Linked DNA regions of Struthio camelus. The protein of the gene in region 4 interacts with the protein of the main gene of each other region in a pairwise test. Links are inferred from orthologs where the notes say so. Each region holds a gene or a part of one and is shown on either strand. Other genes may lie near its edges. The genes, in order: CRY1, GLRX3, RGS3 and phospholipid scramblase 1.

Evidence for each region.
Region 1: the proteins of phospholipid scramblase 1 (region 4) and CRY1 interact in a two-hybrid assay, tested with the Homo sapiens proteins (2 studies listed by BioGRID and IntAct). The link is inferred for Struthio camelus from reciprocal best matches to the Homo sapiens genes PLSCR1 and CRY1.
Region 2: the proteins of phospholipid scramblase 1 (region 4) and GLRX3 interact in binary tests that used the Homo sapiens proteins (3 or more experiments, as listed by UniProt). The two-hybrid records come from large-scale screens. The link is inferred for Struthio camelus from reciprocal best matches to the Homo sapiens genes PLSCR1 and GLRX3.
Region 3: the proteins of phospholipid scramblase 1 (region 4) and RGS3 interact in binary tests that used the Homo sapiens proteins (3 or more experiments, as listed by UniProt). The two-hybrid records come from large-scale screens. The link is inferred for Struthio camelus from reciprocal best matches to the Homo sapiens genes PLSCR1 and RGS3.

Annotation. Positions count from the first base shown.
Region 1 is NC_090942.1:61,486,239-61,494,201, forward strand, and holds the start of CRY1 (cryptochrome-1), read right to left. Parts: upstream 3,013-7,963; 5' UTR 2,825-3,012; intron 2,698-2,824; 5' UTR 2,644-2,697; coding exon 2,486-2,643; intron 1-2,485.
Region 2 is NC_090948.1:1,878,493-1,886,260, forward strand, and holds the start of GLRX3 (glutaredoxin-3), read right to left. Parts: upstream 3,011-7,768; 5' UTR 2,982-3,010; coding exon of another isoform or gene 2,920-2,981; intron 2,812-2,919; exon of another isoform or gene 2,745-2,811; intron 2,340-2,744; 5' UTR 1,569-2,339; intron 1-1,568. UniProt on the Homo sapiens protein: Together with BOLA2, acts as a cytosolic iron-sulfur (Fe-S) cluster assembly factor that facilitates [2Fe-2S] cluster insertion into a subset of cytosolic proteins.
Region 3 is NC_090961.1:12,237,638-12,244,944, reverse strand, and holds the start of RGS3 (regulator of G-protein signaling 3), read right to left. Parts: upstream 3,013-7,307; 5' UTR 2,731-3,012; coding exon of another isoform or gene 2,700-2,730; 5' UTR 2,086-2,699; coding exon 1,983-2,085; intron 1-1,982. Other genes in the region: C20H9orf43 (uncharacterized protein C9orf43 homolog), read right to left, coding at 6,592-6,851. UniProt on the Homo sapiens protein: Down-regulates signaling from heterotrimeric G-proteins by increasing the GTPase activity of the alpha subunits, thereby driving them into their inactive GDP-bound form.
Region 4 is NC_090950.1:16,852,203-16,859,487, forward strand, and holds the start of phospholipid scramblase 1, read right to left. Parts: upstream 3,005-7,285; 5' UTR 2,866-3,004; exon of another isoform or gene 2,497-2,865; intron 2,408-2,496; exon of another isoform or gene 520-2,407; intron 46-519; 5' UTR 1-45. UniProt on the Homo sapiens protein: Catalyzes calcium-induced ATP-independent rapid bidirectional and non-specific movement of phospholipids (lipid scrambling or lipid flip-flop) between the inner and outer leaflet of the plasma membrane resulting in collapse of the phospholipid asymmetry which leads to phosphatidylserine externalization on the cell surface.

The DNA.
Region 1 (7,963 bases), on a different chromosome or scaffold from region 4:
ACAGAAAAGCTTTGCAAGAGGAGAGAGAGCACCCGAGGTGTTAGGTTCCTAAACTCATCAGAACATAAACTCTCTTAAGGTAAATCAACCCATACATATGGGAGGATCACTGTAAACCCACAGCAGAAGACTAAATTTAGATTCAAGTTCCAGATGCTGAGGGGCTTCTGCTCCTAATCTCAAATAAAATGTTTTTTGACCAATTCAACACTCTATTCCACATGCATATAAGCAAGGAAGTCATCCAGTGACCAAGGAGCTAAAATGCTTGATTATCAATACCAAGCACTGAATGAGACTGGCAAATCAAATAAAAAAGTATCACTTCACAGGTCTTCAGTATGCATACTACAAATGAGCTATTCTTAGCCAGCTGTAAAACACTCACATTGTAACTACTGGCACCTAAACTGGTTTAATTCCAAACTATGAACTGTTCATTGAAATAAGAATTTACTGAGATCACTCTAGTAAGTATGAAGTTCCAGCAGCTAGTTATTTTATAAAACTCACTTTTTTTTTTAAAAAAAAACTTGAGAAAACTGGAAATCTCACAAAACCGGACTATGGAAGGAGTGAGATCTATTCAAATCCATGCACAGCATGTGCCTTGGGGTATTCAAAATCCAGGATATTGTTTGAAGTGCTTTGAGGGTAGGGGTGTTACAACTGACCCTCCTTCTATGATTTCTTCATTTTTGTAGGGAGAAGAATCCCCTCCTCAAAAATGGACTGAAAGATAAGTAAATACCTCTCCTTGAAAAGAAACCCACCCTCTCTGACCAACAACTAAGAGATGTTTTACTTCAAATGTAAAATTCAGTGCAAGGATCGACTGTCTTTTGTACCACTGAGAACCGTTAAAGTAAATGCATTTGTTGAGCATCTGCTGATTTATTATGCATAAATGTATTCTAGGACTGTATTAAGTGAAGATCATACTAAACAGCCATTGGAAAACTAAGGCAGTAGCATTAGAGAGATGGATTCCCTTTTGCTAGGATCATAAAGTTCACATTTGTCTATCACTCACTAGCTCACAAAATATGACCAAGAATGGTTCAGCTCTCTCTGTTTTTTCAGTTATGAAATACATTAGAAACCTGTGAAGTATTCTGGACACGCAATTTGGCTGCATTCTTTTAAAACTTAAGTAGCTTTTCACACTTTATCTGTAAAGACTACATACAACCTCTGAACTTTGTTTATAACGTTCAGATTTGTTACACAAGAAAAATTATCTCCTTCAAAACAAGCAAGAATCTTTAAAAGTCTCTGTAAAAGAAGTATACATTATGATCCTCAGATAAGGGAATTACCTTACAATTATTAAGTGGTATGCACCTCGTTCTTGTCAATGAAAATGGAATAACCATCAAGTTAAAGATCACAGAAAGCCTATTCTTAATATTTGTATCTTCCTTAAACCAGAGATATGGCCATAATGAAAACTTCAAGATGTCGAGAGAGAGAGAGAGAGAGAAACCAACTTCCTGGTAAAGTATTTAATGATCTGGGAGAGAAGGTATTACAGCTGAAAGAAATAATCCTTAAGAAAACTGAACTAAAAAAACAAGTAGCTCTACTTTGACAGCCATCCCATCATGACATTGGGTGCAGTCCAGTTATACTGTGCTCATTCCATAATTAGTCAACTCCTCTCAGCATTGTGGTCTGTGCAGACTAAGTTCACGAGTATCTGAAATTCCTGCCATTCTTAGATGGATGACAGAAGAACTCTACCACATTATCAGTTATTTTTTAAAAAGAAAATAAAGTTATTACTGCTGTTTAATGCAATCTCACAAGATATGCATGCACAGAAGTCCCATTAACTTCTGTCTTAAGATGGCATACGTTTCCATACTGGATGCCAGCCACCGCTCCACAGCAAAAAGTTCAGCTTTATATTTAAAGGAGGAGCACACCTGGCCCAAAGGTGCAAGAACTGCATGCTCCCGAAAGGAGCACCGAACACCCTATCCCTACGGGGAAGATAACCTGAGAGTTTACTTCTGAACTCATCCAAAAGCTTCCCCTCTCTCTCTCCCACAGGGGTACGTGCAGGAGCGCAGCACTGCAAGTGGGGGCTCTGGCTGCCAGCCCGGGCTGCTCGGGAGGCGGCTGCCGGGCCGGCTGGAGGCCGCCGCGCGGCTGCGGCGGGAAGCGCGGAGTCGCCGCCGCCGCCGCCGCCCCCTCCCTTCCCCCTTCCCCCCCCCCCGCCGCCCGCCCGCGCGGGGCTGACGCGCTGGTGGCGAGTCCCCCCCCTCCCCTCCCCCCGCGGCAGCCGCCGGCCGGGCTGGCACGCGGGCTGGATATGTAACGGCCGCCGCCCGCGGGGACGCGCGCGGAGCCGCGGCGGGGCAGCGGCCCAATTGGGAGGCAGCCGGGCGGCGCGGGAGGGCGGGGATGGCAGCGGGCAGCGTGACCGCATACATAACCGGGGGCCTGGGCCCGCCGCCCCCCCCCCGTCCCCCGCACTCACCGCCACCTGTTGATGCCCACGTTGGAGGAGCCGGCGAACCAGGGGTCGAGGATGTAGACGCAGCGGACCGTGTCGGCGCCCTGGATGCACTCGCGCAGCGCCGGGTTGTCGTGGAGCCGCAGCCCCTTGCGGAACCAGTGCACGGCGTTCACCCCCATGCCGCCGCCGCGGGCCCGGCGGGCGCTCAGCGGGAGCCGTCGCCCGCGGGGCCGCTCATGGCTCAGCGCCGGGGCGAGCAGCGGCCGCCGCCCCGCCGGGAGAGGAGCGGGAGCGGCGCGGGGTCCCCGGGGCCGCCGCCGCGGGGAGCGGAGCGCTGGCGGAGCCGGGACGCGGCCTCACCTCAGGCGGCTCTAGGACCCGGCGGAGACGGCGCCGACCGCCCGGCGGAGACGCATCTCCCCGCGCCGCGGGGAGGGGAAGAGAAGCAGCGGGGCGGAGAGGTCCGGCAGTGGCTCCGCTCCCGGGAAGCAGCGGCCGTTGGCGCTGCTGCTGCCTCGCCGCTCGCCCTGTGACTCTGCGCGGGGCTCCACCAGCCGCCGCGCCCCGCCCCCCGCCCCTGATTGGCCTGCCCCGCCCCCACGTGACCGCCAGCCCTCACGTTTCTGAAGTGTGTTTACTAGCCGCGGAGGGAAGAGGCGGCGGGCAGAGGCTCCGCCGCGGCGCGCTCGGCCCCGCTCCCGCCAGCGGCGGCGGCGGGCAACCGGGGGAGCCAGCGGCCCCGGCGGGAATCCCACCCGCCTGGGGCGGTGCGAGGGACCGGGCCGCGGCGGGGAGGGGCGCCGCGGGTAGAGGCCGCGCCCCCTCCCCCCACCCCGCGCGGGGCGCCGGGCCCCGGATGAGCACGGGGCTCGGAGGAGGCCCTTGGAGGCGCCGCTATCCTGGCGGCGCCAGGGGTTGGGGGGGACATGTGTGCGCACGCGCGGAGGGGGGGCGGTGCCCGTGACCAGTTATGTATAACGCTCGGCGCGCAGAGCGCATGCGCGGTCCCGCCCCAAACTCGTAACGGCCGCGGCGGGGGTGACCGGGGGGAGGCGGAGTTGCTGCTGCCGTCTCCTGTGTGCCGGGACGGGCCGGGACGGTTATGTAAGTATCCACGTAGGGAGCCCAGCGCCGCCGAGGAGCTCCGGGGCCGCACCTCGGCCCGGCCCGGCCGCCCTCGCACGTCGCCCTTCCCCCCTCCCCCCCCCCGGTGCTTCGGCCAGGCGTCCCTGCCTGAGGAGGAGGAGGAGGAGGGGGGAGGCGGAGGAGGGAGTTCCCCCTCATTTTAAGATACGTTTCGTCGCTTACGAAGCGGACGAAGTAATTTTACCCCTTGGCCGCAGCGGTACGGAGGTGGTGTGCAAAAACGGGGGGCGGGGGAGGGGGGGGACACGGAACAAAGGCAGAGCAAACGCGGCTGTGCAGCTCGCCTGTGCCAGAGCTGTGGAAAGGAAATACGTCTTCAGGAGAGTAGTGAGAAGTAAAAGGAGTTAAAATGGTCTCTAGCACTGTCAGCAGCGTCATTATTAGCAAATGGTGTATATCTAACATGTCGTTCCCTTTTAAGTACAGAGCTAAAAGATGCCTGCGTGGTGCAGCTTTTCTTACTTTTACTCAGGTCTCAGCCGCCTGGCATGAGGTGTCCTACTGATGGGACTCAGTATAGCAATTTCAAGGCCCTACAGAGCAGCTCTGTATGCACGTCCGAAAGCAAACCTTCGTGTATGAATTATAACTTAGCCTACGGCTTCTAGTGCTTTCCATAAACAGCAACAGCAAGACAGATCTCACTACAAATAATGACTCTACAGTAAAATGGACATGCACTTGCAGTACTTACCTCCCTTGACTTCCGGAATTCCAGAGTAGGAAAGTATTTTAAATCTCAGAATTGGAGTTTCTACTGAAATATTTTTTCTGCTTAGGTATGAAAAAGTCAAACCCACAGTCAATAAAAAGTAACACATAACGCATCGTGCTTCCCTTGATGCTCTTCTTTCCTCACCTTGAATGACTTCATAAAATGTCCATACTGTTAGCAAAGCTGCTAACAGAAAAGGCCCTAACCATGATAAGAGCCCTTTGCTATTTGATATTGTAGAAACCTTCTCTCTAAAAAGTATGGTGGACCACCTTTCCTTAAGCATTTAACAGTAACTTAACAGTAGTATAAATTATTATGAGGTTTTCCACTATTATTTTGTCATATATGTAACATTAGATTGCACGGCTCATCATTCTGGTCCAAGAGGAACCTATGGGTTCCTTGCTTGTTCAGTTGTTAAGAAATGTCAAATCTTTGGTGACTGATTTTCAAATAAATAAAGTAGAAAAGAATGAAAAAAACATCTCAGTAGTTAATACCCACTTCCCATTAAATTCCTTTTAATTGTATAATATTTGAGCACACTGAAGAAGAAAGCTTATTTTCAAGGAAAGTCACCTTACGATATAGTTTTTATTTAAAACTTCTAAGCTGCTTTTTCAAGCCTCTCTAAGATCATCAGTCAGAAGCCTTGTATCTTATGTTCCCTGCTAGCTCCTTACAAGGCTGTGACACTGAGCAACAAACCATGGCCCTAAAGAAAGTTCAGTGTCAACTGATCTGCCTTCTTCAAAATGTTAACGTGTAAAACTATTAAACTGAGGTGGAAGCAACCCTCCCTTGCAGGAATTTATGGTTTCATAACCAAATTACAACCATGAAAACCATCACTCTGTAAGCTGTTTATCACTACAGATTAAATAACAACTGTAATTAGCATAGCAGCATGTCAAAACACCGTTCAGCTCTATCCATACCTTCCATTCTCGACTGATTGTTTTTGATTTAAAAAGTGGAAGGAAGATGAAGAATATATTAATTAAAATGTCAGATCTCAAGGGAAGAGGCACTCTCTTCAAGTTGGTGAAGAAAGAAAATAGAATGATAGTTAATCAAGGAACTTGTACAAGTTAAGCCCACTACTGTGTTCTCTTGTGGATAACTTTTGAAAGAACAGTATTGCTAATTCAGCTAACTTGGCTCACGCTGTGATAACAGAAATCCAGAGAGTGGAGAGGAGAAGGAATCAGAAGGGGAAAAAAAAGACAACATGAAGGCATGAAAGGACAAAATAAAACATCAAGGAGTAAACAGAATATATTGTGTATTAAAAAATCAGATGAGTTTTTTATATCCATGTGTCTTAACTCCATTGCATGCAGTTATGTCACTCATACTCACAATTAAGTGTTATTGAAACAGCAGTCATGTAGGAAACCAAGCGTGAGCAAGGTCCGTAGAGCATACTATAGCAATTCTTTCACACTTTGCTCTAATACAGACTATTGAAAATGTAGCTGACAAAAGAAGCGTTTTCAAAGCGAACAGTCCTAATTTTCACTCTTTGAAGTACAGCATTATGCAGACCTGAGTTAGATGGTTTTAAAAATGCTAACTGCCTAGAAAAATTGTCTAGTCTAGAAATTATTTGCATCTTTGCCTATTTTTTACTCTAAGTTTAGAAGTGAACTAAAGAAGTGACCAGCTGAACAGAGTAAGATACGGGAAGCAGATTCTCACCGTCACAGCTCATTTAGCTTCTGCAACAACATTGGCAAAACTGTTAATCCATTGACTATATACATGACTTTTATTTTTTTATTAGGGATAAGTACAGTGATCATATGGAAGAAAATATACTGATATAAGAGAAGCTTCCTATGATTACATCGTTGTTGCCTCTCAGCAAAATTTGATCCTGAAAAGATTTTTTCAGTGTGCTGCTTTCCAAAACAGTAGAATAGTCTTTGCAGAGAACATATTTGGTATCAGGAGCACTACTGCTTTTGATCTCCTGAATAGTGTTATTTGGTAGCTATTGCACTGTACAGGGTGTAAGTCTCACTAGCACTGTTCCACTTGGATAAACGCGAGAAACAGGCCATCTCCTTTACAGAATCAACAGGATCATCTGCTTCCCATCGGAACACAGGCACTCAAGTAACTTAATTTTCAAATGTTTGTTTCTTTGATACCATACTACTACTTAAAAATGAGGGATTTTGCTTTATTTAGTACACTAAATAGTACTCGCTTGAGAGCTGTTTAAATCGAAATACCTCTTAGTAGGTCACTTTCAAACATTTCTAATCATAACAAAGTCAATATTTTACCAGGTGGAAGAAACTCAGGTGTTTTTCCATGATAAAAAGACTGCAATCCAATTTACCTCACTCCGATTAAAAACACCGTGAATCAGTGCATGAACTACAGCATACTGAAGTCGCATCTGGAGGATGGCAAAGTCCTTGTTTACTGCAAACTCAGAATTAAAAGTACAGCCACTTAATAACCGTACTTCAGTCCTGTGAGATCTGTTGAGTCAAGCATTTTTTTCCCCTTTCTCCTTGCACCAGTAAATGAAAACATGACGAAGCAGAACTGACGGGAGCCAGGCACCCTGAGAACCGCGTGGCACCAACCCAACTTCCCCAGCCTGTTTCCATCCTGATTACAGCTCCTGCCACACCAGGGAGGGACTGACGGTGACTGTTGGCCTTTTAGAAACCCCAGCACATTTATGCTCCGGGTGCCAGGTGTGAAAGGGAGCCCTGCAGCCCACGCCGACACATGGACTTGCTCCTGTGTGCTCACAAGCGCTCCCGTGCTGCTGCCTCATGGACCTCATGGGCCACGCGCAGCTTCCCGGGCACGAGAGCACCTCCATTTGCTCAGCCTACGGTGCTGGCGAGGCCGTTACTTTGACGTTTCACTGGAAAGCAGACAAGGCTGAAACGACATACGCCAGATTCAGACAGGACGTAGGGCTTTAGAGATGCTCTCTTGAGTTTGGCCTTCACCCACCGGGCGCTCCCGCGGCAGCTCTCATGGCTCCCGCCGCCCGTCTCGTGAGGAGGGGGAACGAGTGCCGCCATCGCGCCGTCCCTTGGGGCTCTACTCCTTCACCCAGCAGCTTTTCAACACGCAGGCTGACTTCAGCCGAACTCCCCAGCCGTCTCGGGGGCAAAACCTGTTTCCGCCAGGGCTGTGAAACCTGGCGGCCGGGCAGGCGACAGGGCCCTCGGGCCGGCACCAGGCGCGGCGGCACCCCAGCCCTCACCGTGGCCAACGGCCGCCCCTCACGGTCTCATCCTGGCGGGGAAGGAGGGGGGGAGGGGAAGGCGAGGGGGCACTGCAGGGCTAAGGAGGCACCGCGGCTACCGGACGGGACGGCGGCACTTGGTCCTCGCGGGGCGCACAGCCCCAAACCCGTCCCTCGAGCAGCGCCCGCCGCCGCCTGCCCCGCTCCGTCCCCCCCGGCACCGCCCCGCCATGGCGGCCGCGCCGCGCCGCACGCCCCGCCTTCCCCCCTCTCCCCCCCGGGCGGCACCGGCCGTTGGGCCCGGCCGCGCAGCGCACGGCGGCGGCGAGCCAGGTCAGGGCGGCGGCGGCGGCGGGGGGTGGGGAGGACCCACGCGGGACCGGGGTGGGAGGGGGAGAGCGGGGCGCCCGGC
Region 2 (7,768 bases), on a different chromosome or scaffold from region 4:
ACTAAGGGTTGTTTTTGCCAAATTCATTCACAGAACAAGTCTAACTAGTTTTGCAATTACGCTGCTTCCTGAGTTTCTGACAATTATAAATTAAGCTTGAAACACGACAAGAGTAATTCAAAACAATAAGAAAGGAAAAAATTAAGAGTCAACAAAATAAAGTGCATAAGTGATTATTATAATAAAGTGATTCTAAACAAAGTTTTTCTTACATTCAACCAAGATATTTCTACAAACTCTACCACTAGATAATGGTCATGAGAAAGAGCACAGTAATGAAAATGTTATAATGAGTCCCAAATTTTCTCTTCCTATGTCATTTCACATTTCAAATTTTGGCGGAGGAGCTTTGGGCCCAAAAATAAGGGGCCCACGTCCTTCATCCCCAGTAACTTTTGTTAAACTTGACTGGAAGCAGAAGAATATATCATGCATTCTCTATGGATAGATGAAAAGCACAGTCTTTGTTATATTTAAAAATGTTTTTTTTTTTTTTAAAAGAGAAAGATTTGCTTGAGATGGAGTCACAAAACATCTTTAAAATGAAAAGCCTATTTACTGCAGAACCAATATAGCAAGACATTTTCTGAATGAGAAAATCCAGAAAATTTTTGTTCCATAAGTCAATCACCTTTTAAGCTGAGACGCAAGTATTTTGTAAATATTTATATGCTACCACTGACAGGTAATGCAAATAAAATAATTTTATACACTGATCTTTCTAAAACGTAGTCTAGGTAAAAGAACAGACTGCAGAGTGATAATAAAAGTGGTTCAGTAATTTTGAAGACATTGGCTCTGTTCATCTTATGAGCCTATGAAATCTAGGCATGTTTTGGAAAAATATAAACCTTAAAATTTATACTTACTCTGTAACACACAACTTACTAATAAAACAGATGTAAGACAGATTAGCTTTCTGAAACAAGAGATCTTAAGAAATTAGGTTGAAAGATAAAATGGTGGTAGTTGTATCGCAAAGGCAGCAATTCTATTAGTTTGGAAAAGCAGGAAGGTTATCCAAACAGCAAATTTACTCACGAAACAGAACTATGCCTGACCTTAAAAATTCAACGTATCTTCTACCTTAAGCTTTAACTTTCAAAAGAAAAATACTTCCTTCAATAAATTTTCTTCTGTCTCACTTCGTTATTTAAAGCAATGTTTAAAACCACTTTTTGACATCATTAATTTTCAAATTCACTGTGATTATCTAAATATGGAAGGTATCTTAAGGAAACCAGTATCTATTTTTTAAATTCTAATTTTAAAAATTCACCATCAAGAGATGATGAGACCATAAGAAAAACTTTAATTTGGGGGATTTGTGTGCTTTTAAGTGCAGGTTTGTTGGCTTTTTTAAGTGTCTTAGCAGTAACAAAAAAACAACGTCCAATATTTTTTGACTGAAGCAGAAAAGAATCATCAGTACTATCAATCCCCGCTAGGATCCAAGGTAGTGTAAAATAATCAAATCCCTTAAAGAGAAAACTGAACCATGTTTTAGAGGACAGAGGAAAAGAGAAATATGTTTTTTTGTGGTTGAAAATAACTTCAAAATACCATACTTGCTCCTGGAGCTGTTCTATGTATTTCCCCCTTGGATACTCCCACGCAATAATTCAGCTGAAGCACAATTCCGACAAGGAAAACTGGAAGTCATGAAGAAAGTCTCAGAAACTCTATATCCAAAAATATGAGTGCATTCTTCCCACAACCAAGATTTTTTCAATATTTTAATATTGTCTGTAGGAAAGCAACACTAGCAGTTTCACCAGTCTTTTAAATGAGTAATTTCATCAGTTTTCTCTCCTTCTCCATTTAGAGGCCACTTTCTGATTCAGCAGCCGAATCAGCTAGCACAGAATCACAGAACGGTTGAGGTTGGAAGGGACCTCTGGAGATCATCTAGTCCAACCCCCCTGCTCAAGCAGGGTCCTCTAGAGCACATTGCCCAGGATCGCGTCCAGGCAGGTTTTGAATATCTCCAGGGAAGGAGACTCCACCACCTCTCTGGGCAACCTGTGTCAGTGCTCTGTCACCCTCACAGGAAAGAAGTTGTTCCTCATGTTCAGATGGACCTTCCTGTGTTTCAGTTTGTGCCCGCTGCCTCTTGTCCTGTTGCTGGGCACCATGGAGAAGAGTCTGGCCCCATCCTCGCGACACCCCCGCTTCATATACTTGCAGACATTGATGAGATCCCCTCTCAGTCTTCTCTTCTGCAGGCTAAACAGGTCCAGCTCTCTCAGCCTTTCTTCCTAGGAGAGATGCTCCAGTCCCCTCACCATCTTCATAGCCCTCTGCTGGACTCTCTCCGGGAGTGCCATCCCTCTCTTGGACTGGGGAGCCCAGAATTGGACAAAGCACTCCAGATGAGGCTCGATGCTTGCTTTTTTTTTTTTTTTTTTTTTTTAAAGGCAGCATCAAGCTTTCACATGCCTTACAAGGCCTATTCACCTCTCTACTCAGCTCAGGGATTAAAAGACAAAACACCACAGCTGCCCCACCTTCCCTCCCACAGGACAAGCGGGGCACAGGCCCGGCCCCCGGCGTACCCCGGCTCCTCTTCTTCTCCTCTGCGGCCCACCGCAGCCGAGGACGCGGGGGTGGGATCCCCAGCCCCCCGCCAGGATCAACGCCCGAGACCGGCGGCACCGGGAGGAGAGCCGCCACCAGCACCCAGCGCTCCGCGCTGCAGGGGACACCGCTGCCCGCAGCGCCGCGTTACGCTCACCTCAGCTCACCTCAGGGAGCCGCGCCGCGCCGCGCCGCGCCTCGCCTCCCCTCACGGCGCCGCGGCCCGCCCGCCCCTCGCCTCCCCTCACGGCGCCGCGGCCCGCCTGCCGACCCCTCGCCTCCCCTCGGGGCGCCGAGGAGGAGGAGGAGGAGGAGGAGGAGGAGGAAGACCCCCCCTCCTACCTGTCCGGCTGCTGCAGCAGCTCTTGGAACTGCTGGGCCGAGCCCGCCACCACCACCGCCATGGCCGCACGCAAGCAGACGGGGCGGGGGGAAGGACGTCACGCGGCTCCGCGCAGGCGCCGTGCCGCTCCCGCGCAGGCGCCGCGGGGCGGGCTGATGGCGGCGACGCGGCGAGGAGCAGCTCCCCCCTCACCCCCCCCCGACCCGTGAGGGCGGCCTGCGCCGTTAGAAACGGTTACTCTGAGGTAACGCAAGTCGGGCGTTAAATCATAATTCCGCTGAGCCAGCGCGTTACACAGGTAACGCGGTGAATGAGGCCAACACAAGGCGGAGTCCGCGCCAGGGTTGTCCTCAGAGCACCCTGAAGCCAAGCGGAGCGGTGTTCCGCGGGGCGCGCTTCGCCTCTCCTTTCGGCTGGTCTTCCTATGACCAGCTGTTATTAATGCTATTTATTTCCTGCCGTCGTCTTAACAGCTATTGGTTTATCTTAACTGGCGTTGCAATGCAAGCAGCAATTCTTTTAAATTCTTTTTTTCTCAGGCACGATAAGAAGTAGGAGAAACTCAGTCCTGCTCGCTGATCGCTGCGTCTCTCGGATGGTTTCAGATGAGCGGAGGGAAGAAGGTCTGATTCTGCGTATTTCCTCATTTATCCCCTTTTTCTCATTTATTTCCTCATTTGTGGTCCGTAAAGCCCATATTTGTGAAAGTTACTTAAATAGACCAAAAGAACTGCCACTTTAACGTAACAGAAAATACATAATCAGAAATTTGTAAGAACAGAAAATCTTGAGGGAAAGCATCTTTGGGATTTCACATCATCTTTTGCTCAGTTTCAGAGCTTACAAAAAGGAGTGATCCCTTCAGTCACAAAAGAAGGAAAACCCACTAATTTTTGCCTGATTTTTATTTGGAGTAAACTAAGAATATAAATTTGTTTGAAATCGAAATTTGTTGTGTTAGATAAGTATGTCCTACAGATCACCCATATTTTATCTGATTTCGGATAATAAAAAATTTCATGTATTTAAGAACCTGTAACATAGAGCAAACAGCTTATAATCTCCACCCGCACCTGTTCCATGACTAATAAAAGGCATTTGATTGTGTAGAGTGGCATAGGATACAACGTTGTGACATAAGACCATACATATTATTCTAAAAGTAAGTCTAAGAAGACTGCAATATGTAATTCCACAAACAAATCTATCTACTCGGGGTATTTTTTTCTCCTTTTCAGTTACCTGGTACCACACAAAATGTTCACTCTGTTTTGTCTAATAATTATGGATATATTGTAGATAAACATATTACTGGAACAGAGTGATTTTTGCAGTAGTAAAACATGGTGTTATAGTCTAATTATCTGTTATAATTAAGTCACATATTCTCCATATTTTTGGTCCCATTGCTTAACTGATTTTTAACAAATGCAGCTACTTTTTGCTGCAAAGGAATTCAACGCATGATAGTAGCCTATATGCTGTTCAAATCACCCTAATATGCAATTGAGGGCTACTGTACTCTCTAGTCTGCAGGCCAAAGCCAAATGACACAATTGTGTTTTAAGAATGACTCACGCTACTTCACCTGTAGGATGTAACTTCTCAAAATAAATGTCTTCCTCTGTAGCCTATGTCAACTACATCATGTAATTTAAAACCTCCTTCTTTAGTAAGGTTCACAAGACCTTTTCAAGGTTCATTTGGAAGGTAAAAATAAGGATTGCTGTTAAAAATGTATAGGCCCACTGAGACATAGGAGAACTAAATCTCCCTAACATTAGGCTATATTTCTGGGCATCCCATATGGAGTATTTGGCAGCACAGTCCCAGGGAAACCCAAGGCTTCAACGACTCCAGATTGAACAACAGGCAGCAGGCCAAATTAATCTGGCAAACCTCCCATAGTGCCCAGTTGATCTACTGCTCACCTCAAGTTGCAAAGAATTTGATTACAGAGGCAATACCCAAGTCTGGATAAAACAAAAGCTGAAGATGTAGCTAAAGTGGCATAGATGCTCTGCAGTGCCGCTAATGTTTTCTTGCTCTGCTTGAATATGTCAGTCTACAAAAGAATTGTGTTTTGGCTTTACATTTGCTAATAACTATGTTATAGTGCTCTGTTGAAGTACTGAAATGGATATTCCTTACAGACAGAGGTTTGATTTTATTATATTCAAGCTGGGAATTCCCCATAAAATACTGATGTGTTTTAACATAATTCTAGTTCTATACGATCCCTGAACACACTACTTCATGTGTGGCAGAAAAGTTACTGGTGCTTTATACTGTTTTCCTGACCCATGCATAGACAAAGACGGAAGAGACAGTAGAGAGACTGCATAATTCCAGCTTAACGAAGTTAAAGTAGCTGAAAGTTGCTAAGTATTCAAGATATACACAAGCTATTGTTTTTATATAGAAATACTATTTGTCAGTACCTGTGTAGCAGCGTACGTAAAATAAAAATAAACAGCTTTAGAATGTACAGAAGCAACACCTTTTCTTGTTTTATCCGGTTACAGTCTTTCTCTATTTTGATATAGCACTAGCTATTCTTTGAGGAATCTGGTCTGCCCTTTGCTCCAAAAGACTTTTTATTATGCACAAATTTGGCATCTCACTTACTCAGAGTGATTGAGAATAGCATATTTTTGTTGATACTTGCAAAAAAATAGCTTCTTAAGTGTCTGAACTCATGAGATTGACTGGACTGTACAAATTAAGATTGATCCTAGGAAAAAAAAAAACACAGTTTGAGGGAAATGGTGGTTGCATTCAAAGACAAGTTAAAATCTATGCTAAAATAGATTACTTGTTTTGATAAAATTATTTTATTTTTGAGTATGAGTTTTTTGCTAGGGCCCCTGACTTTAAGCCTTATCTATTAGGTGACATGATTATCACATGGGAATCTTTCCCTCCTTAAAAAATCCTTATAAATCAAGGCAGAGTCGTTTATTTATGTAGTGGGAGATATTCAGGGACAACCCCCTGGCCTGCACTGAACCTAAGGTGAGATTCAGTACATAGTGTGCAACCACATGTTCCCACCATGCATGTTGGTTCATAGAAGGGGGTTTTATTCTTCCCTTTTATTCTAGGGAGTTGAGGGTGGCTTGAACATGTTCAGAAAAAAAAAATGCTTAGATATGGTAAGAATGTGTAATATGATATGGTAAGAGGAGCCAGGCAGAGGGCACCGACAATGGTAAGAATGGATACCATAACAGGGGTCTGAAAAAACTTAATGATAGGCAAAAATACCGAGAAAGATATTATACTTGGACTTCTGGATGCATGACACAAGATCAAATGAAAAATACATATCTAGACAATGTAAAGGTTTGGATGATGAAGATGTATTGTATGAACACTGGGGGGGAAAAAAAGCAAATATTCTGAAAAAAGACAGGAATTCACTCTAAGACATGTCAGGTCACAGTATAACAGGAGTGGAAAAAAGCTATGAGAGATCACTCGTTTTCTCAACGAAAACAGAATGAAACAAAAAGAGGGAACATTTAACAAGAAATGAAATATAGCAAATGTAGAGATACTGATATTTTCATCTAGGAAAACAGCAAACTTAGGGTCCCAGTCTAAGGCCTAAGGATACAGACCTAATGTCTGTAATTGCAGAAGTTCCCACAGTCATAAGGGTTTCTCCAGCAGCATTCAGCAAGATATAAGAGGAAACAAGCTGGAAGGTGTGACAGGTCTGTGATCACTAAATCTATTTACTAATGGTAAATTCTTTCTCCTAAGTTACCTGGTACGATGCAAAATGAGGGAAGGAGTTAAGAACAGTAGAGAAAGCACAGAGAAGCATTTAGCAACTGAGCATGATGGAGAAATGGAAAAAAAAATTTGAGTAAATGGAGAGAAGAATGAAAATAAAGTTATAGCTATTAGTAGATTGGAGGTCTTTGAAGACCGTGGTATAGAGCCAATAGTCAGAAAATGCCTGTGCAATGACAGAGAAAAGGAAGTTATTCTTAGAAAGAAAGAACAAGGTGAGTGAAAGATGAAAGAAGGAATAGTCCTTGCCAAAAAACAGTCTGCTCAGTTTTTGGGTTATGCATTAAAGAAATCTCATGGGACTAGTTCATAAGGGTACTTCTTTAAAACATAGACTTGTGAGTCTTCAGTTTCTCAAAAGAATGTGAGAAAACCGAATCTGAGAATGTGATGTTGGGGGTGATACAGAGTAATTTCTCTATATATGCAAAAAAGAGCAAACTACTCCAAATAAAAGTCAAAGTCTCCAGAGGCAAAGGTCTGACTATGAGCTTAGCAACTGCGAAGATAGTTGACAGTCTGTAGATGGCAACAAGCTACCTCTAACAACCAAACTAAATCTCTGTTCCTCTGCTGGAGCTTTTCTTCATCAGGTCACCTGCAGAACACAGGGTTGAGAATTAGTGCCTGAGACTCTGACCAGGATATCTGCCCTATTCTCTTATCTAGCAGCATATATTAACACCTGCACTAAAACAGAAGAGAAATGGATAGCACAATACATCACCCACCCACACCACTGAGTACAACAAAATAAGTAAAGGGCTTGATTTTTTTAACAACAGAGTATCATGACTTTCACCTGCTCCTGCCCTGGTACTACATGGGCAGATAACAAGCTACTCCTTAGCACGCAGTTGTCTCATACTGCCTTACACAGCATGAGCTTTACTAATACCAGATAGGCTCTAGTTGAAAGCATAAGACATTGTATCTGGAGATGTATTCACATGAGGAATTAACACCTGTCACCTCTAGCCCAGGATGTTTTGAAAAGGTTTGTAAATTGTATCTCTTCCACCTTTGTTACTAAACTGCTTAAATCTT
Region 3 (7,307 bases), on a different chromosome or scaffold from region 4:
CAGCCCAATTCATCGTGGCCAAGAGACACCTATTGTACTGCTGCCATAAATCACAGCCCCTTTGGGCGCCGGGAGGAGAGACACATAACGACACGTTCTTCTCCGAAGGCCTCCAGACAAAGCGCTTGGCTCCGTTCGGGCTGCCCGCCTCCCCGGCACTCAGCCTTTCCCTTGGCAACCAGCAGGAGCCCCGAGGAGATGCCTGGCCAAGCAGCCAGCTAACGCCACCGGTTGCTTTTCTTGCCTCCCAAGATGTTTATAGCCCTTGAGGGCCCAGAAGGATTTTCTGCAGACACATCCAACGCAAAGCTCCTGCCCCATGGTGAGGAGGGGCCAGAGCTGAGTCTACGCAAGCTGCATGAGAATCACCTTCCTGCTCTGGGAACCAGGTCCATCCCCATCGATGCGGCATTGCTGGAGCCTCCTGCACCCGGAGAACGGCACAGCCCAGGGGAAGGGGCGCCAGGCACCAACCATGGGTGAGAGCTGTCGAGAGAAGAGGCTTCCAGTAGGGCTTGGGGCCTGGGCAGCCTTCTGGCCACTTGGCCTTTCAGCAGACACGGCTGGGAGCCCAGAGGCTCCAGCTCTGCCCCCATCACCTCCAGCTGCAGGGACCTAGAGCTCAGGGTGGGCTGCAGAGGGAGCCCCTACCAAAGCCAGGATTCATTCGTTAATTGCTGCTTGTTCGTTAGCAACGGCGTGACCTTTGCAGTCCTACTTAAAATGCTGAGGACGCCCAAGCAGTGTGGGCCATTTCGACAAGCAGAAGCACCTGCAGGATGGGCAGAGCCAGGAGCTCCCGCGTCCGCTGTGGTTTCTCAGCAGCTCCAGCACATCTGTGCTTCCCCGTGATGCTGCTGGATTTGGGTACAGGGGAAAGATGAATCCCCTTTTCCCAGCAAGGCTGACACTGTCAGAGGCCCAAGAGGGGAGCAGGAGATGCAGCCTGGTGACAGCGGTCCGAACTATGGACGCAGCCAGCAACTAAATGCTCTTTGTGGCTACCTGGCAGTTACATGGTCCCATAGCTCCCAGTGCTGCAGCAGGTCCAGTTTTCCCCAGCAGTGAAGCTTTCAGCCCCAAAGAGTTTATCTGAGTTGTAACAAGCTAAAACTGGGGACGTCACATCCTCTAACACATCCGCTCATGGGCAGAGGAGCCCTGGACACAGCCGGGTCCTGCTCCTGGAGCCAGGGAAGGGATGAACCCCTTCATGCTTCACAAGCAGCACTGCCAAAAGACTTGGGAGAGGATCTGAATCACGTGTGTTTTATGTTACAAAATGGTAGAGGAGCTCTCCCACCCTCTCAGGACTCCCCACCATCCCAGCCCTGGGCTCTGCAGAACAATATCACAGAGGCTCCAAACACCTTTCTTACAGCTGTGTCTAACAGCAAGATTGCAGACGGAGGTACCCCTGACTGCCTTGGGTTAGAGTCAGTGCTACCGCCACCCCGTGCAGAAGGGTTGAGGAAAGGTCCTGTTGCCATCCCTGCATCGCCACATCCCCCAGAAGCCATTGGAGCATCACATGCACCAGACCACAGGCAAATGGCATCAAAGCCCCATCCTGGGCAATCAGGAGCCAGCGCATACGTGGGACAGGCTCTACTTGGGGACATGGAGCAAGTTCTAAGGGAAATTAGCACTTCAAACCCTCCCTTCAGGCTTTTCAAAAACTCTTCCCCTCATTTTGTTCAGCTGAATCCACTTGCTGACGTTCCTAGTGACCTCCATCTCCCACCCATCAAAACCAAAGGTTTGTCCCAGCAAATTTACTAGCACCTGGGAAAAAAAATCCAGCCTGGCAGCATATGTTTCAGTACACAGCATCCCCAGTTATCGATGACCAGCACAATACATCTCGACCCACAGGATATCCAACACCAAGCAGTCCTACTGGGGGAGCGAGCAAGGGAGCCACTTTGAGGTCCCACATATCCTGAATGTCTTTCAATATGGATGAAAGGCCCCATCCTCACCTCCTTCACAGCGTGTCCCCATGGCGGCATCAAGACCGCAGCTTGGATTGCTCCTCTCTGGTGCTGCCGAGCCTGCCGCTCTCCCTGGCACACCACTGCACATCCAGCAAGTGGCGAGATGTGTCTCACGTGCCACCCCTGTCTCCTGGGAACTCCTCAGGCTTGCACAAAGCCTCCCCTCTCCGTTTCTTTATTGCAGACGGTTTTAAGAGGAGAAAGGAGGGATGAATGACACAGTTACAAGAGAGCACTGTCCCTTTAATCAGCCAGTCCCACAGGTTTAGGTGAGAGAATCCCATCAGGTAGGGCTTTTACCCCATTAAAAAAAAAATAGAAAAGGTAAAGAAGAGTCTCTGGGATTCTGGGAATGCAAGGCCATGGGAGTCCCATGCACCCTCCTCCCAGAGAGCTCAGAGCTCACCAGCCGTGAAAATCAGCCCTAGCTCTCAAATGCAGCAGGCTCCAGCCCTCTGTGTCCCGCAGCACAAGGTGCTAGTGGAGAGCCTCGAGGCCTGCCACCAGCAAATGCGACCCTGCAGGGAGCTGGGCATCTCCGACACCCTGTGAAGGGCGTGCGGGGAACATGGTCCTTCACCACCTCCAAGCACCAGGATCTGCTTCAGTGGTGAGAAGTAGGCACCTGCATAATCGTAATTCTTCCTTCACCCAGGAGACAGAGCAGTACCGCAAACTAAGAGAAAACATCCGAGCACTCACGCGTCAGCCCCGGCTTTCCCAGCTGCTCCATGATTCCCAGGCAGGATGCTCTCTTGCTCCAGCAAAGTCCAAGCACCGGCGTCCTGCGCTCAGGCGTTTGACTTTGACACCAAAGAAGAAGAAGAAGCAGAAAACTTGGTACATAAATGTCCCAAAAGAGCAGAGCTCCAGAACTGGAAAGTTACACATTAAACTGTGTGCAGGGAGGAGTCGGTGGAGTTGCATGCGCAGCAGCCCCTCTCTCTACAGGCTCCCAACAGCAAGGCTGGGACTCTTCCTAACTTCCCTCTTAACATTTAATCTCCTGGGGACTGACCTTAACCTGCAGTTTCTGCTAGAGTCTCCAGCAGACTGCACACTCAGCTGGTTGGCTTGGGAGTTAATGACTTTCTTTTAAAATTTAACACGGTTCTCCGTTACAGATTTCGGTTTGCCAGCATTAGGATCTGCCTTTGACTGGGTATTCAAATCCAAACACACATGCTTAGACAGTTAGTCCAGGCTAAAGGATACCACATGCACACAAAAAGCTCACAAGGCTGAAGCTTGCTTTGACTAGAAACTAAAGCAGATTGTACTGACCGGGAAAAACTACTTCACTTCTCAAATGAAAAGTGGATTTTTAGGAACAGAGTAGGTTTGGGCTATTTTGTGGCAATCCTGCAGGCAGATTTATTCTTAGCAAAGTCTGCCACACAGGGCAGACACAGAAAAACTCAGCGCTTTGCCAGCAGCTGGATTGCTGCAGTCTTTCCCCTGGGGTCTACAGCAAGCATCACTGGTGCCGGGCAGAGGTGGGGTGCTCCTGTCCTCCAGCACCACCTCTGCAGCAAGCACAGCTGAATTGTTCCCTGAAAAATGCCAAGGAGGAATCCAACAGAGCCACAGGCTGGCCGACAACTACATCTCTTTCCCACTTGGGACCCTGGAAAGGTTTCCCCTGCTGCAAGGGTCTCTTCAGAAACCTCGTGACCGCTCTGTTCAGACGCCAGAGTCTGCACGTCCCGCTGAAGCCCAAGTCCCAGTGCCAGGCGCAGCGCCTGCAGCAGCATCCCCACTGCACCCCGGTGCGATCCTCGCCGCTGCTTTACCAAATCGCAGCCCCGTCTGCTCATCCTGCGGGCAGGTTTGCACGGCAGATGCACCCCGCGCTCCAAGCACCCGCAAAACTGCCCTCGCAGCAGGATTCAAACCCTGTTAGAGAGTTTAAACCGACACTGATCCAACGTTAGCAAATTCCTCCTGAGCTGCTCTTGCCCGCTGCCAAGACACACAAAGTTGCCCTTTCCCTCTGCAGCATCTCCCACCCACCATTCATCCCCCAAATCAAATTACAGCCGGCTCAGGGCATCGAGCCTGGAGCCCCCCAGCAGCGACAGTCAGCTCCGAGCTGCTGCGCCTCTGCATCCTCCACCGTCCTCCTCCAACACAAGTTTATAGCTCTATAATCTTTTAAAAACCAGCATGCAAAGCTCCAAATAAGACGGGTAACACCCACCTCCCTCACAGCCAGTCTCTGCGAGTACCGTTCAGCAGCAACACTTGATGCTCCCCTGCAAACGGCCAAGTCCAGGCAACTCCGAGCCTTGGGAACTGCTCTTTCCAAGGGGCTCCTGCCAGCTAAAGCCACAGGGCACTTCTTCTCACAGACAGACAAACATCCTCTCCTGCTTCAAACTGCGTTGGGTAGGTGCCCAGAGCCTCTGAAGGGGCGAAGGAGGAGACCGCGAGGGCCCCGCTCCCAAGTCAGGGGTAGATGCTCTCTTTACTGCAGTTGTTTTGGGGGATTGCCAGAGAGTAAAATCTCCCTGCCAGGACCGTTGTGCTCTGCAGCCCTCGGACACTCGCCTTCGCCATCAGGCATGGCGTTGTCAGGGCGCCCAGGCTGCCCCAGCGAGGAGGTCCAGCCAGGCAACTTTCCTACGACATAACCCTGCAAACACAGGCTCTGGGGCGATAGACCCCAAACCCCAGGAGGGAGGCCCTGTTCAGAGCAGCATACAGATTAATGGGATATTGCGAATGTCTGGAAAGGGGAGAGAGGAGAGAAGGCTTGAAGAGGAAAAGTTCAAGTTCTGCCTAAACACGAGGCTGCGCAGGAGGCTCCGGCGCCAGCGGACCCACCCGCAGGGTGCAGGGCAGCCTGGCTGCATCACACGCAGGCAGCACCCGGGGCTTGAGGATGCTGATTCCCCAGACAAGGCGAGGGATGCCAAAAGTAGGTGTGCTTCCCCCTTTCTCAGCGCATGGGAGGGAGGCCCCCGCTGACAATATCTCCAGGAAAAGCCTCAGGACTCACATGCCAAAAGAGTCGCAAGAGAAAGAGGCTCCCGGCCCGTGCACTAAGCGCAGCCTTCGCCCGTTCCTCTGCCTCCCCCGCTGGAGCTGGGTCCCACTGCAGGACAGCGCTGCCGGCAGCCCAGGTCCCCGTCGGGGGTTTGCCTGTTCTCCTCTGCCGAAATCATTCGCTATAAATTAAATAATTCTAAGACACATCTTCTGGGTAATTTTATATCCAGGAGAGTGGTCACATACAGGTGTCTGGAAATCAGAAGGCATGCTGCTCTGCAGCGGAGAGAGCTGAGAGCATTCTGGCAGGCAAAAGCCAAGGAATATCGTATAAAATAGGAAGCGATAATAAAGGGACTGAGAGCACTAATAACTGGGGTGCCAGGAAAACACCACAGCAGTTCAGAAGGCAGGTGGAAAAAACAGAAGGCATGATCCGGGGAGAAACATGCTTTAGAAACAAATGTTTGGACGCTTCAGGCCAAGAGATAGAGCATAAACTATAAACAGCAAAAGGGAAAGCAGATAGACAAGGGGACAAACTTGAGGATAGACACGGCTTCTACAAAATTCAAGCTGGAAATCTATCTATCCTCCCTGCTAAAAAAGCGGTGAGAACTTCCATAGTGAAGCTACACCAGCCTTTAAGTTTAGATCAGACTTCTCCCCAGGAAAGCGGAGATCCAGGCGCAAAGCAGGATCCCTAAGGCAGGGCTCTGGGTGCAGCTGCAGGTCTGCGACCAGTCGGGCAGCAGAGCGGAGGAACGAACGTGCCCCCAAGAGATCTGCCAAGAGCACGGCTCTTGGGTTCACCTGCACGCTGGAGAGCCAAGCAGGGACAGGGGATGACAGACCCACTTTCTCTCCCTGGATGCCAGGATGCCTTGAGTGCTCAAAATAATGCATTTCACCCCTGTCCTTTGGAAAACTCCAGGAAGTGCCATGACAAACCCCTTTCGCTCTGCTGCCTTCAGCTACCGGGAGGAGGGCAGGAGCCCCATGCCCGCATCCTGCCTGCCAAACCTCTGTGCTGTAGGCCAGGGAGTGCTGCCAGTGGGACCTCCCATGTGCCCAGGAGGCAGCCCGGTACCTCTCGCAGCACTACCAGTGGCCAAGGCTTGCTCCCACAGGTTCCTGTTTGGAGTGGTCATTGCTCAGCCCCACTCATTCCCTGAGCTAGCACAGTGCTTGAGCCCTGGCCTACTGCGCCGGTCTGCCCTATGGAGTGGGTGGGTAAATGCGATTTTCTTGACACAGGATATTAAGGCAGCTACAGCCAGGCCATGGCGCGTATTCGAGCTGCTCAACAGACTAGCTCCTCTTTGGAAGCCAACGCGCAGCACAGAAACAGGAGAGGGGGTGAGAAGCTCTTCTTTAATTTTCAGAACTCAGAGATTTGTACCTGTCCCAAATGTTTACAGACTGCAGAAACTGCCGGGCCACTTCCGTCACCTGCCCTGTGGCAAGGGAAACACAGTGGAAGGGGCCTAAACACAAGGCGAGACAGGAGCTGAGACAGGAGCAGGCCAGTGTCAGGACAGGTTCCCTCAGCCATTGTTTGATGAAGGGTTAATGGAGAAGACTGTCTTGATTGCTGTGTCCTTCAAAGGCAGGGGTTTCCCCCTGAAGAAATCTCATTATAGTCCTCCTGTAGGCACGGAGAAGGAGGCGGAGGCGGCGGCAGTTTGTAGGAAGGGTCATCTTCAAATTCCTCTTCGGATAGCGGAACCGCTCTGCCTGGGTACTGGACTCCCTGGATGTGGCACAGTGCCCATGTACCGTCCTCCCGGCTCACAGCGCCGCTGGAATATACATAGTCTTGGCTCCCTTTTCTTGTCAAAGGTTGCCTGTGCTCTTCAACACCTGGCCAGAGGATAAAAGAAGAGGACGTGACAGGGGACAGGCATTGCCCTCAAGTGCCTCAGGCCACTGTGTTCAGTCAAACAGAACAAGATAATGTACCCAGAGCACAGAACGTGAGACTGAAACCATGATGGATGGGCTTCCTCTCACCTACCCTGGGCTCTCAAAGGCAGGTCTGAGTTAGCGGGTACACTAGCTCCTTCCACGAACTACCAAGGAGCCTGGATGATTATCCTGGATGCTCCAGCTTTAGGTCATTGATATTTCATGACGTAAGCCCTATTCCTCAAGACAAAATTTACAAACCTTAAGTTCAGGAGGAGTTTGGAGTGAGCCTGCTGGACTTGGCCCAGTGTCTCTGACCTGTCCTCAGGCTGTCCACAGTAATGTCCAGGGTGATATCAAGTCTTTAGAAATATTTAGTCTGAAACTTGCAGTAGTATCACACTTGCTCCT
Region 4 (7,285 bases):
ACGCCAGTGAAATATGAAGAATTACAGCTGCACCCTTCGATAAACCTGGGAAAGTAGAGACAGAAATAAATCATATGATTTATTTAAGAGAAAGGCCCAGAATCATCATCTTTCTCCCACAAAGACACACAGACTTCTCTGTGGAATCTGGTTTAGAAACTATTGTGATACACAGCCCAGAAGAGGAACAAAGCTTTTACAAAGTTCGGCTCCCATGTTATCAGAAAAGTCGCTGAAGAGTTAAGATTACTTTTAATAAAAATATTTGCTGCTTCTGCTTGCTGCTTTCACCTTGACTCCTTTTGCTGCCTCCAATTCAGTTGCCAAGAGTAACAAACAATACCAGCAACACTCTGCTCTTCTCGCAGATAATCAATAAAGCTTGTGAAACAATAAAATATTCTGAAGAACCAAAAGGAGGAGGAATGAAAGCTCATTTTTTTCCAGTCCTTGTATTATGCAATATCTTCCTCGGGCAGGCTATTACAGGAGGGGAAATTCCCATCTGCTGAAACTTACGGTCAAGAAAACATAGGCAGACAACAGGCAGACTGGTTGCTTTAGAAATGTGCTGGTTTCAGCTGCCTCAGCGACACAAAGCCATGCAAGACCAATAATTTGAAGTCTACAGTTTCATCTAGCAGACAGTTTAGTGAAAAGAGACTTTACAAACAGGTCGGTCTTCCTAGTTCTAGCAGCAATTTTTCAATAAACATGGGGAACACCTGCCCCCAGCTGAAGTGCGCGTGGGCAGGCAAGGAGGGTGGAGAGAGCAGAGCCTCGCTGACGCTGACCCACTAACGGGCTGCTTAAAGAGCTGCTGCAGGTGCTTCACTGCAGGGCTACGCATGAGAGCAGATACCAGGAAAATCCTAAATGCTCTGTTCAGTTTTGCCCTTTTCTGACCGAAATTCACACAATAATTCATAGCTCTGAGTCCACTATCTTGAAGAGAACATAGGCAAGAGAAATATATCCTCTTTTCCCTGGAGGAGGGGACATAGCAGGCAAAAGCAGAAGTGATTTTGCTAGCAAGAAGGAAGCATTGAGGGCTCTGGGGACAATTGATGCAAAGCAGCTGTCTGTTAACTACAATTATGAAATATGGCCTCTGAATCTTGTGAGGCCTCCCTGCTTCCTCCGCTACGCCTACAAAATGAGATTGAGAAGGGCAGCAACTTCCAGCGTAAGCTGCAAAGCTAACTGTCATGAAAAACACCAATTTAACCCTGCAGTGTGACTTCCGACTTCAATTACTGCAGTGCAGAAAGGAAACTAAAGAAACCACACATACGCAGCCCTCCAACTGTCAAGGACAGCGGTTCAGCTGCAGGTCAGCAAGCTGTCGTCAATCCAAGACCCACATGCTTCATATGCTGTGCTACTTACAGGAGAAAGAAACTAAAATCAAGAAGTCTCATTTCCTCATATCCCTCTACGCGTTAGGTATCCAGGGCTAGTATTGCCATTTCTTCCTCCTCATCCATAAGAGTTCCTAAACTCTTCTCTTTGCTCTCAGAATCTGCACTCATTTCCATAGACAGCCTAAAACCTTTCACTTAACACTAGCATAGCTGGCCAGTTCCTTATCTTCCTGGCCTGGCAGAATTGTTATTCAAAGGGGCAACACAGAAGTAACCATTAGATGGATGCAGATGCCCAGAGCACGGTGCTCTTCCCCATCCAGTGGGGGTTGAGCCTAGGCACCTAAAAACAGCCAAAAACTTTTGGAAAGGAAGCGGAGGAAATACCATCTCTAAAGGAAATCATAACAGAACAGTTCCAGTTTACAGAATAGTAAGGAAATAACGTTCCTAGACTGTCCCCCCTTCCCCCTGTTTTTTTTTTCCTTTCTTTTTAAGGAATGGCAGACTCTTTCTCAGTTGTTTTCTCATTTTCAGAGCTGCATGACACTGCTTCAGTTTCTAGATCTCTCTTATCCTGTTGCATGTCAGTAGATATGTGGTAATTAGCAGAGAAATTAGGTATGTCTTCATGAAGTTAACTACAGAGCTTCCACTCCGTTATCAAAAAAAGCACATTGGTTTCATTTATGACGAACAGTTACCGTTCTCATTCAAGTCACTAAAACAGTACCACGAGCATATGAACGTAAGCTGCACAAGTACAAACGTCACGCTCAGTCATTTAAATACCAACACAGGGCCATTCCCGAGAAGGTTCACGACTGGGAGAACACACTTACAGAGCCAAATAGCTGTAAGGCACTTCTTTTCGTCACACCCATCACATTAGCCATTGGATTTTATTTAACCTTGACTGCTTGTGAAACAACATCTTAGAAATCAAGTTAATCTAACAAAACAGATATTTGTTTGTTAAATTTAACAAACAGTTTCCAAGAAGGAACAAAACGAACTATAAGTTGATATAAAGTTATTTTGTTCTGGTGCAGCGAGGTACCCCCTCCCCTCACAAAGACATCTCCCCCAAAACCTGGGGGTCACAACACCCGAGAGCAGGGAAAAAACCCACCCGGCAGCAGATCACGCAGAGGCCGGGGCACGCAGGCTGCCAGCGGCGAGGGCCGATCTCGGAGGGGGCTGGCAGGCGCCCGGCGCAACAGCCGTACCGCAGTCCGACTCGCAGCGCAGCCTGGCACGGCGCTCGCTAGGCAAGCCTCCGCATAAGCTCCTCTTTGCGAACCACAGTGTTATTTTGACAGCTCTGGCAAGTAACCGTTGCTAAGGAGACGCGTTTTTAGCTTCACTCTCAGTCACCGACTAGCAAACATCAAACCCCTTTTGCAGCCTACCTAACCATTAAGCAGTGCTGGGAGGAAACGAGGAGAGACAACTCAGAGGACCGCCTAGAAGGCGACACACACGGTACACAGATCCTTACGTTCTCAGCCAAAATACCCGTCCCCGAGGAAGAGGAGCCGCTCTCCCGCCGCCCTCACCCCGAGCGAGCCGCCACGCCGCACCAACCCCGGCTCGAGCCGCCCAGCGCCGCGGCCCGGTCCGGCCCTAAGAGGCAGCCGCGGCGGGCGGGGGGGCCGGGCGGTGCCGGGCCGCCCCGAGCCGCCCCGAGGGGGCCGCCCCGCCGAGCCGCGGCAGCGGGCGGGGAGCGGCCCGTTCTCCCCCTGCCAGTATGAAATCATATTTACGAGCGACTTTCGACCGAGCACTGCCCGCAGATTTCCGCCTAGTCCTCCTCCGTCATCTCCCCCCGCTGCAAACAGCTCCGACATCCCTGGCGGCACTGGGAGCCCCACGAAGAGACGCCGTCGCCTCATTCAGCTGCCGTCTTCGACTGTCTCATGGCAGCGGGACATAGGGTCAAGCATTTAAGTGATGAGCAGTGTTTCTTGCAAGGTTTTCTTGCGGTTTAAGGTGGTAACGTCACTGCTAACTCCGTATAACTTCTAAAATTCAGATCACTACGGTATTTCGTGGAGGAGGTATGGGGAGTCAAACTTGCCCATGTAAATATTAACTTTTATATGTACTATCAAATGATTATTCACCATAAAGGATAATCCTAAGCAAATATCTCAGCCTTCCTATAATCTTTACACTATCACCTTCTCCTGTGTGAAAAGCAGCTTCCCGTACAATCTAAACATTCGCTAACAACACCTGGTTTCTTGAAAACACGTGACAATAGAAGAAAAAACCTTTGATTGGTACTTCCGCTGATGCCCTGTTTCTGAAAGATTTTCTGAAAACAGGTCAGCTGAGGAAATGATTGCCTTATTTTTTATTTTGATGTCTGATACTACATAATATTTCTTTTTAATATAAGGGTATTAACTGGAGAAATAAAGATGCAGTACAACGGATTCATATTCTTAAAGAAACACTGTCTTTAAGTCTGAAAAGGTCCAAACTTTCTAAAAGTTTCTATAACTTCTAAAGCTGCTTTATTTTGAAAACATCTGCCTCTAAAAGGCTACCTTGGGAGTGAGTCTTACAAAAAGGGACAATTTCATGTTGCTATGCAGACATACGTGATGTGAGAACTGGAATTAGGACTGGAGACACCTATTCATTTCTTCACTTTTTTGATAATAAATTTAACCTTACAACCTCAAATCCAAGAAGGACCCACAACATGTCTGCCTTCCAAACTGTGTACAAATACAGTCTGCAGGTGGTCCCAAATTTACTGCACTTTCCTGCTTCCACATAGGCTCTACAGAGCTACTCACCATCCTTAATCTATAATAGAGTGGACCGATATAGTGATGAAGGGAACAGGGAGCCCTGAGAAGAAAGTCAGCAAAGACTCTCAGTAGGCCTCTCACCTGTGCAACTAGGGTTTTTGTCCCAGGAGAGGATTGCTCTGCAACCGTCACACACTGCTATGTTTTGCACTCTACCACCTAAAAGCAAAGGCTCATCAAGGTTTCTGTTAAGTAAAATTTACCATACTTTTCAAGACGACAGGCATAAAGTTACATTTCACAGAAGTACCTCATTTGTTGGTAGATTTGTTGTTGGATCATGGGAAATGCTAAACCCTTCCCTTACAGCTCAGTTTTTTATGAAGAGAGTTACTTTACTAATAAAATATGTTTTGCATTCAAAATATTTTCAGGTTAAAGATTATCAGAGATGCAATCAACATCAACATTACATAGATTAGTGATGAATCTAAAACGGAAATGCCTGATTTTATAAGGGTCATCGTAGACTCATGCAATGCTTATTCCTGATAATCACAAAATGTTCCTGGGTTACAGAGAAAGTAATATAACACTCAAGAGGATTGCCTTGCAGAGAGATTTCTTTAAATGTCACTTTTTAGAATTTATCTTGTATAAAAGCAGGATTCTCTGAAATGAGAATCCTCATTTCAGAGACTAACAAGATATTTTCTTAAATTTTAAATTTAATAGTGAATTCTTCTGCTAGTTTCTTCAATGATTTTGATCAAAAAAAGCTATTAGGCACTTCTGAATTGCTGTTCAAACGCTTAAAAGTCATGCCTTTTATTCTTCAGAACTCTTGGATATTGTTACATGCATTCATTTACCTGTATCAGGTGCAGGTAAAAAACTAAGGAGATACATTATGCAAACCTTATTTTCAGGACAGCAGAATTATAAAATAGAGCAAAGAATAGTTCTGTTCTGTCAATAAGGGTCTAAATATGGCATCTACAGTAGCAAAACACACTTCTGATGTTTCCATCTGCGGGCTGTTGCTATCCCTTTCTTTCATTATCCATTCCCACTACACAAGGCTTAGGACTGCTTTCAGACAAGCTCTATTATCTATGAAGATCATCCTGTCTGATGGATTAGTAGAAACAAAAAAGCGTGATGTTTTCACAAGAAATAAAAAGCCTGCTCCTTCTGTATTAAGGACTAGCTAGCTAATTCTTAAAATACATTGATCAAAATGTCAAGGACTTCATAGAGTGTAGCATGACTCTGAAACATGAAGTATTTCATACCACATTAAATATAAGCCCATCACCTAGGTAGTGCAAAAAATGAAATTATCTTCACCAGATCCCACACCTTTGAATATCTCTGCAGCAAAGGTACTGCCATTCACCTTGGATCACATTGTATCTATATACCTTGAAGTTACAGATGAAGAGAATTCAGGGCTTAAAGGTTCTAGAGCATGAATTAGACACTTACAGTAAGAAAGCAAGCACCAATCAAGACAGCTTCTCCAAGAAAGATGGGGGCACAGTAGCTGTCAGGATTTGACTCTAATAAAATACAGACATAATTAAAAACGCTGGGTATTTTTCAGTAGCTTTAACAATTTGAATATTAACAATTCCAATTAACTAAGGAAAATGAAAGCTATAAAACATTCTTTTAGACTAATAATTTATCCAGTTGAACATCTTTAAACCCCTGTTTTTGCCTTAACGATGAGGTAGACTCATTTGGCATTTAACTGTGCACCATTTCAAGTTTTCTGTTGAGATTTTCAGATGGAAGACATCAATTAGTGTGTCCAACTGCACAGCTCTCAGCATGAAAATTCTTGAAGATCCAGCGTCAATCAGTCTAGGCTTTTCTTTAGGCATTATTACTCAAATATATTCAAAATTCTAAATTGATTCATAGCTATCCCAGATTTGACATTAGATTTGTGCCTACCGGCGTCCAGTCTTTACAAATGTTGTGTAGACAGTGTATGTGGAGGACATTGAGGGGAACATGATCTTAGGTGTCTTCTCTGTCTAAGTGTTCAAATCATTAAGGCCTTGGGTACCTTGGGTACACAAGGCAGGTCAAAATGTTCCGTCAAAGTGGATGAAGGTCACCTAAAGTAATTCAGAGGGGAAAAAAAAATCAATACCCTAAAATTATGGCTACAGTCTCTGTGTCTTGTGATAAGTCAAAATGAAAACCTAATTTGCGGAATCTTTAAAGATAGTGGACAGCGAGAAAAGTAACTGTTGCAAGAACAGCAGCAGCAAAGCTGTGCGAAAGGTCTTTGCACTGGTATCTTTTCTCCTCTAAACTTTCATGAAGAGGAGTAATAAGAATACGTATAAGAACTTAGGGGAAAAAAATTGTTTGCCTGCTGCAAAATACATTCTTTGCTATACATTTGTGTATTTTGATTTCATAACTGTTTCAAAGCCAGTAATATCTGAAAAACGAGACACTACTCAATTGCTCATTGTGTCCCAGAAATGAAAACAGAAACAGTAGAGAGAGATCAACAAAGTCCCAAATTTACAAATACAGATATGTTTTCTTGAAAAATTTATAATCAGCTAGAAGGAACACTTCTTCTATAACACTTCTATTCTCTAAACATAACCTTGTAACTGTTTGCAATTCTTTAAATTTAAAGTAGACTACTGAGTATTTTATCTGTCCTTCAAAAAATTGAACCATTTGATACCAAGAATTTGGCTAACTCTTCTGAGGAGGCCTTGCAGATAGCTGAGAGAGATGGTTCCAGCAAAAAAGAAAAAAAAAAGTGAAAAGAGGTATAGAAATACTATCTCTAGAAACTAGCAATATAAAATCACAGTCAGAGCAAAAGGGGCAACTGGGAGCAAAGAAATTAAGAAATAAAGGTAAATAAGTAGGTCATATCTGAGTTATCAGTAGTATGAAGGAAAGAAAAAGAAACTTTAAAAGGAGGCACTTTATGGGATGGTGAGAAGAGACTATATGGTCAGGAACTGCCCCCCCACAAGCCAATCTGCTGTTGAAACCATCATTTTGTGAAACCACATTATCAAGTATTAAACAGTAGCTCTTATGAAAATGCCCTACTGAAACGTAGATAAACCTGACGTGTCATTGCTCTCCACTTTGCAACATACCTTTGGC